Linked DNA regions of Schizosaccharomyces pombe. The protein of the gene in region 2 purifies or fractionates together with the protein of the main gene of each other region. This does not show direct contact. Each region holds a gene or a part of one and is shown on either strand. Other genes may lie near its edges.

Region 1 (3,934 bases), 980 kb from region 2:
TTAAGTTGTAAGGTATGTATGCAATGGTTAAGAATTATCGGATTCATTGAGGAAGCACACCTTTGGTTACACTTGCGCACCCTTATTTTTTGGTCTTGTATTAATTTACATGTATGATTAGTCTGCTACTTCAATTGATGAACAAAGTATATTATCAATCAACAAGAAATAAGGAACTTTTTTTTACCCAACTTTTAAAGGTAACCAATATTAAATCCTTTGGAAGTTCATCAAGCTCTTTAGTGTGAATTTACTAATTCAAATGCCTCGCGGACATTATATTAAAAAATACCAAATTCTGTTTTTTCTTATATGCAAAGCAATGAGACATCAACTAGATAATTGAATTTGACGGAAAAGAAACTTCAAGGATATTTTATAGGAATAAAAGTATTATTAAGGCTTAGAGGAACGAACCATTAGGTTATGGCATAAATAAGATGAAGCATCGTTTTTAATCACTTTCAGACTCCGAATCGCTACCACTATCTTCCAAGTACATACGAAGCCATTGCATTCGAGGTCCTGTTTTACTTAATTCGCTGACTTTAAAGCCATAAATTCTAGGCTGATAAATTTTACCACAAGGGATTGAGCGCTTAGGATTCAGTTCAGGATAGCTTTCAAAAAACAGATGAGGAAAAGTAGCACCAAAAAAAGAGCCATCTATGTTTTTGTATCGAGAACTAGAAGGAGCGTACAAATCAAGACAATTAGGGCAAAATAACATTACAGGCATTTTTCCAACTATATCAGAAAGTCCTGCAGGCAAAACATGAGTATAGCAGCAATTTACACGAGGACAGCAACCAAAAATACCCATGCTGTATTTTTCCGCCATTTGATGTAATCCTGTCCGGGTAATAATATAACGTTGATGGATCAAACCATACAATATTTGAGCACTCGTTTCAATTACGTCCATATCAAAATTCTCCAATGTGTCAGGAGCTGTCCGATCGAGAATTAGGTCCAAAGCCTCATTATAGAAAGGGACAGCCAAATTAAGACCGGTTAAATTGAAAAGATCTTCGATAAAATCTTCCTTCACCTCGACAAAGTATTCACGACCTGGTCTTGAGCAGAACCAAGATATCCAACTAACATTTTCATGAAGAGGAGAAGAAGAGAGATCATCAAATAATTCATCAGCATCATCTTTGGTACTGTAAGTGACAGTAGGATCATGATTAAGTTTTATGAGGTTTTTTCGCGACATTGTGGAAGGATTAAAGGATAGACGCACTCTTTGAAATAATTTTCGAATAAAAAAACCTCCTGAAACAGGGAAATTAAGTGAAATAGGATAAAATAGGCGTAGGTAAGTAAAGGTAAAATAAAAAAGCCAAAAACAGAATATCGAAGGAAAAGATTAAAATTAACAACGAAAATGATGATAATAATAATAATAATAATAAAAACAACTCCGTAATCTTTTCAATATTTAAAGGTGTGACATTCAAGGTAAAAAGGATTTTTGTAAGGAATTTAGAATAAATAGGTCAGCCGATTAAACGATTGAAGATGCAAAATAGAAAATCCTTCTTCAGGTTAAAATTTGTAACCCTTGAAGTTCGGTTGCAAAAATATAAGAGCAAAAAAAAAAAAAAAACAGAACAAACAAAAGGATGCAAAGCCTCTGTTTTGATGCTCTTGGATAATCAAAAAGGATAGCCGTTAAATTATCGTATCAGAAAAAACGAAACGATAATAAAACAACTAGGAGTATATCAGTTTTTAATTAACAGAATCTCTAGAGTATGAATAAAGGAAATTCAGAAAATAGAATGTGTTGTTTTTTGGAATGGTTTCAAACCAACAGCTATAACGGATTCCGAACAACAGGCTTGGTTAGAAATCTCGAATTACGGATGTAGATTTCGGAATCGAAACAAGTCCGTACTTCTCAACAAATCAACAATAGTATAGAATACTAGAATATTCAATGAGACCATAAACCTGCTTTAAGCTAAAGGCAATCTAAATAATTGAAGTTCCTCACACCAAAGTGGTTTTTAAGGAACGAGTGAAAAACGAAGAATTAAAGAAGAAAACGAAAATAATTGTTTCTAAAATCGGTCTTATTTCACAATGATAATGACTCAGAACGAAAGACAATTCAAAGGGGAAAAATTTCTCTACCTACCGGTTAAAGTAAACTTCTTCTAGTCTATGAAAAGAGGAAATTCAGCTCTTGTTCTAACAATATTCGTTTTGAATAGCAAATGACTGCTATTCACAGACTGTACAAGGGTCAGAGGTACCCGAAAAGTTGTGAACTTGCTTGCCCGCAAGGGAGAATGCATTATATATGATTAGAATAAGGAATTTCAAACTACCGAAAGTAAAACTAAAATTACGAGTTCGTTGCGGTTCTTAAAGCACAATATATCATCGTCCACTAGGAAAATTCGAGGAAAATAGGATCAGCAGGAGTGAAAGTATAACACCAATTACTACGGTTGGCTACAATTATATTATTAAATAACTGTATAGTTAAAATACAATGTCAATATTTTTTTTTTCTGTAAATAATCGTGATTTTTATTCATGGAATACACTATCACGACAACATGAATGTTTTTTGAATTTTTCCTTTAACAAAATTATAAGAAGGGTCCTACATTCTTGAGGCTAAAATTTGTTTAACCAACTAGTCGAGATACTGTTTTGCCATTTTAAATGTCGGATCTGTAAGTCACAAATAATGTTTCTAGACCTTAAATTACCTTGTTTTTGAATGCTGGATTAAGAAACTAGCAGACCACAAACACCAAAGGGAATACGCGTTACGGCTTAAAAGTTAGCTGACTTGGTACTGTTTTCTGTAATATATTTTCTACCAAAATTTAAATTGTAGAATGCGACTTCTCAAAAACATCAAAATTCTTTAGCAATGCCCATTTATTATTACTTCGTTTACTGTAGGCAGCTTCTCGGCTGTGTAAATTTCGGAATTAAAAGTCTGCGTGGCAAAAAGGAAGTTTTCACGAATCGAGCTTGTAATTAATTAGAGCACACAGTCGCTAAAATAAGTAAAGCCTTCAAAACTACCGGGTGTTAATTTTCTATAGTGGGAAATAAAACAAAGTCTTCAATTGTTCATCAAAAATCGCACCTATTAGGGTATTTGACACAATTGAGCATGGGTATACAGACAACAAATATGTAAAAAAAATAAAAAATAAAATAAATAAATAATAAAATTATTTATGATAGCCAATATTAAATAAGCAATTTTGAGAGCAAAATTAATTTCTCAGAATATTAAAAAAGCAGCGCCAACAACAATTTCACAAGCAAGAGATGACAATGTTTCATACAACCCCATTTATAAGTTTTTATTATTTGTACATTTATCATTTTACTTTTTACATTTGTTTTAACTAGGAGTTTCTCGAAGATTTGATTCACAAACAAATATTTTGGGAGAAGGAGCTTGATGCCACTGCTTATATCATCAGCAAAATCAATAATTGAAATAATCAATTTGTGTTTGTTACCGTTTAATATATAATATAACAACTCGCTACTTCAAAAAGTCTTTATTTTATTAAGTTGAAATTTTTTGTTTTATACAAGAATTGTATACGTTCGCTTTATCATCATTAACAAATTTCTAATAGGATAGTTTGTTATTTTTAGATGATGTAGTGAATTGAACTTAACACTAAGTATCCAAAGATTCATGAATGTTTACTTACACGAAAACTCCAGGGCGTATATCCTGTTCAACCATCATTGCACTGTTTATTATTATTATTATTGTTATTGTTATACTTCTCAGTAGTTTAAATATTTACGAATTGCTAACTTGGAGTTTTTCTGCATTTATGTTCATATTAAGGCTTATAAAAAGATGATTTTCTAGAAATTCTATCTCCGTTTACTGTATCATCTAATATATTTGACTATGAATGGGGGTTTACCCTAT
Region 2 (3,934 bases):
ATTAGCAGTAAAAGCCGAACATATCGGACATCCGCACGACTAGTGAGCTCATTTAAAAATTTTTTTGTCACTTCAATTAGTTTACGAAACGAGCTGATACAAGACAATGAAGCGTTTACTATGGAATTAATGTTTGCAGTTCCATCATTGCTTTGTTGGGTATCCTCAAAGCACAGAATTAGCCGCTTAATTTGAACATTGGCAGTATGTAACACATGACGCATAGAATCTAAAACAACGGGGTTGCTGCAAAAAAGAAGTTGCTGACGAAGGGCTTGTTGGACTTGCGAAAGCGAAAACAATATGCCCCTAGACGACTCTAAAGTTTTTTCAAAGGCCGAGTGCTTCATTTCAACCTCACTCCCTCCAATGTTACTGAAGTAGCTGTTGACCGAGTCATTTGTCAAATTGGAGCCATTTTCATGCGTTTCTTCTTTTTTCAAACGAGGGGAAGGATGAGGATCTTGAGCAAAAATTCGATTTGGTAATTGCTCAGAAAGTTTGCGCGCTTCTTTAAGGGCTTCAAGACGATGTAAAACACTCGATGGAAGTCTAGTAGAAGAGTAATCATCATTTGTACTATTGCTTCTATTACGCTCTTTCTTGGCAACCTCAGGTAAACTTATGGCTGATGTTTTAGCACTCGCACTCAACTGCGTTGGAGCTGTTTTTAGAATCGATTGTGTGGAAGCAGCATCATTATTTGAGGGATTTTGATGTTGATCAGTGAATTCTGAAATTTGGTCTTGAATGGGGCTAGCGCCGTTAGTATTGTGAGTACGTTCTTGAACGTCTGCACTAGCGACGGAGGAATTGGTGAGTGAGCTTTGGGGTGAATGGTACAATGGTCCTGTAGCAGAAGAAGGTGGTTTTGAAACAGAAGGAGAATTGAGGCCAGTAGCTAAAGAAACTGACCTACGAGGACGGGCTTGTCTAGGCGACGCATCTAGATGAAATTTGTTTAATTGATTAAGTGATGGAGGATGAGTGCATCCATGAGCAACATTTGAATCATACAATGTTCCTTCTGAGTTCTCATTTGTCTTTGACAAAGTCGATTTGGGTGTGGACTGTTGATGCCCGGCAGGAGAATGTGAATGGGGACTTGGCGTGACAAACGTCAGCATGCCAGGTGAAACCGCATGGCTAGTATCTGATGGGGCACTAAATAAGTAAGAATCAACCACAGAGGAGTCATTTTCTTCCGAGTGACTAAGATTAGCTGAAGCGGATAAAGCAGCGGAAACAGTACTTTCACTTCGCGTTCTAAAGACTGATTCGTTTCGCGACAAATATCCCTTTATATTGGCAATAAACAACTGCATATCAGAATCTTGCAAGTCATTATTAGCGATATGCGGAGGAGGAAACACAATGTGATTGTTTTCAATTTTAAGAATTTCAAGATTCGGCATATGTGCAATGTAGGTGGGAAGCTCAAAAAGACGATTTTTAGAAATTGAAAGAACTTTAAGGTTCATTAAAGCTCCAAAGGATTCTGGCAGTTGCTTGATTTTATTGCGAGAAATGTCTAAAATTTCAAGTGACTCAAGTCGACACAAAGATTCGGGAAACTCTCTAAGGACATTCGATCTAATATTTAGGTACCGGAGACGAGTAAACTTTAGGATTTCAGGACCAATACTCTTTATAAAGTTATGGCCTAGCGCTAGTCTCGCTATCCGACCCTGGATTCTTTCCAATTGTTCATAAGGTAATTCCCGCAAGTTTAGATGAGATAGATCTAACGTAAGTGCATTTTCAGGACCCGCATCTTCTGCCTCTTTAATAATTCTTTCAATTTCTGAGTTTTTTGTGGAGGACACCTCATGAGCAGACATAGCATGAAAAGATCGATCACCTCAGACGTAAATCCGAAGGTTTTGTTGAAAAAAAAAGGAACTCTAAGAAGTAATAATTACTAAAAAAATGCAATGAACATAAAATTGATCCACAATGGTATGCTATAATGTACAAAAGTCAATTCCCCAAAATTTACTGCCAAGCTAGTTCGCGGAACGAATAAACTCACTTCTTTCTGTGTACGCATCTGTAGGTTGTACTTTTTTATTTTAACAACGTGAATAAGCACTTTTCCTTAAAATAATTACAGTTTATTAACGTTTACACAAAATATTTTCGTTAAGTTTGATATTGCGTTTTATTTTTTTTAGCTATGCAGTTCGTAATTATCATTAATGATATGTTAGACTACTTGATTTTCGTATGTGCACTACATAGCGGTACATATGGTTGTATGATAACGGGGGTTACGGATATCCTTGTATGAAGGCGGTAATGTAATTTATCTCTAAACAAACCACCACAGCTGAACTAAAGAACGTTGTTCCTTTGATTTTACATCTATCATTTCTAGCTAATAAATTAAAAAATTTATTAGTGGATCTACATCGTATTGTTATCATTTGTAAGACGATAGGTAATCAGAACATGTGACATATAGTAATTCGTAATTGTAATGTAGTATTGTTAGCATTCATTTCTAATTCTTGAATGATCAAAAGCACTCGCTATATTATGTTGGTTCGAACTTTTTGAGTTCATCGAGATCAGAAGTCGTTATTAACAGGAGCAACAAATGCTAACGCTACAGTATGTTTTGTGGTAAATAATTCTTTAAGTGTAAATTGATAACTTTTTGAATGAGTTGCAATTTTGTTGATTCAATATTTCTGTCATTTATCTATAGTTTGTTTATCAATTTGATTATCTTGGTGCGTTTGATTTCCTAATCATTAATATTTATTGTTTATTTTATTAGTCCTTAATATATTGCTTCCTAATAGAATCGCCTAGGTTTATCATTATGATTTAAGAACCTGATAAAAATAAATGAGTTGATAAATTGTACATATAATCAAACACGGTTTTTTTTTCTATGACTAAATGGGTTACTATCTAAAATAATTTTTTTTGGTTTCTCATTGAGAAATTGAAGCCTCATTATTTTTGAATTTCAAAAATATTGGTTTGTGTTGATTAAATCATTTAATCTGAGTCATTAAATATCCAAACCTGACAAGTAGTAATAGGACCATTAATGGTAGCCAACTAAGTATGGGTATAACGTTTAATTTTTTTTTTTTTTAAACTACATACTTTAAATAAAATCTAAAATAAGGAATAAATTTCAGAAACAATTACTCAATTAGTTAAATTTTAGTAATGTCGAATTCTAATAGTAAGTCAATAACACAACAGTATCCCTTTTAAACGAATACTTATTTGCTCGTATCGTAGAATGTATAATTTACAATCGCAGTTTTAGCTGTGCCTATTATTTTCACGTGTTAAAATTTATTCGATTTTTGTCCTCAGATGGAAGGTGTTACTCTAAGTACTCTACTAAATCCCCAGCGCTTGTTGCACGACTAGGTAACGAAACTCAACACCTTAAGTAGGCTTGCCGTATTGTATCGTGAACCATACCTTACTCATTCCTTATCACGAACAGTGATTTTATACTTGTATATTTCTATTAAATTTAAAATAGAAGGGGATTATACAAGAAGCTATCGAATGTTAAACGTAAAAACAGGCGGCTGTTTTGGTTGTTCATACTGTATATAGGAAAGTTGAGGTTAAGTCAAAAGAAAGAAGATATATAGAAGATGCGCATTTGGTTTAAAAAAGTTCCAGATGGGATTACTTCCTCCGTTATATTGTCTGAAGATCATCTGGTTGACGATTTAAAAGATGCCATCGCTCGGAAATTCCCTATTCGTATCAGTCAGTATTATGATGCACCTGAGCTTTCGATTCGTGTAGTAGCTCCACCAAATGCATCATCGGAGTTGCAATCTAGAGAACTCAGTCCCAACGAAAGCATATTATTTGTCATGGAAACTTATTATCCTCATGGTCAGGATTTTAACGACGCGCTTCTAGTAGCGTCGCCGGATACCTCAGTTGC

The links.
Region 1: the proteins of sog2 (region 2) and ckb2 purify together in Schizosaccharomyces pombe (affinity purification with mass spectrometry, with the first as the bait; one study listed by BioGRID). This does not show direct contact.

The regions. Positions count from the first base shown.
Region 1 is NC_003423.3:2,577,863-2,581,796, forward strand, and holds the start of ckb2 (CK2 family regulatory subunit protein), read right to left. Parts: upstream 2,277-3,934; 5' UTR 1,220-2,276; coding exon 455-1,219; 3' UTR 1-454. UniProt on the Schizosaccharomyces pombe protein: Regulatory subunit of casein kinase II/CK2.
Region 2 is NC_003423.3:3,553,642-3,557,575, forward strand, and holds the start of sog2 (leucine-rich repeat protein Sog2), read right to left. Parts: upstream 2,016-3,934; 5' UTR 1,842-2,015; coding exon 1-1,841. Other genes in the region: response regulator Mcs4, read left to right, coding at 3,633-3,934.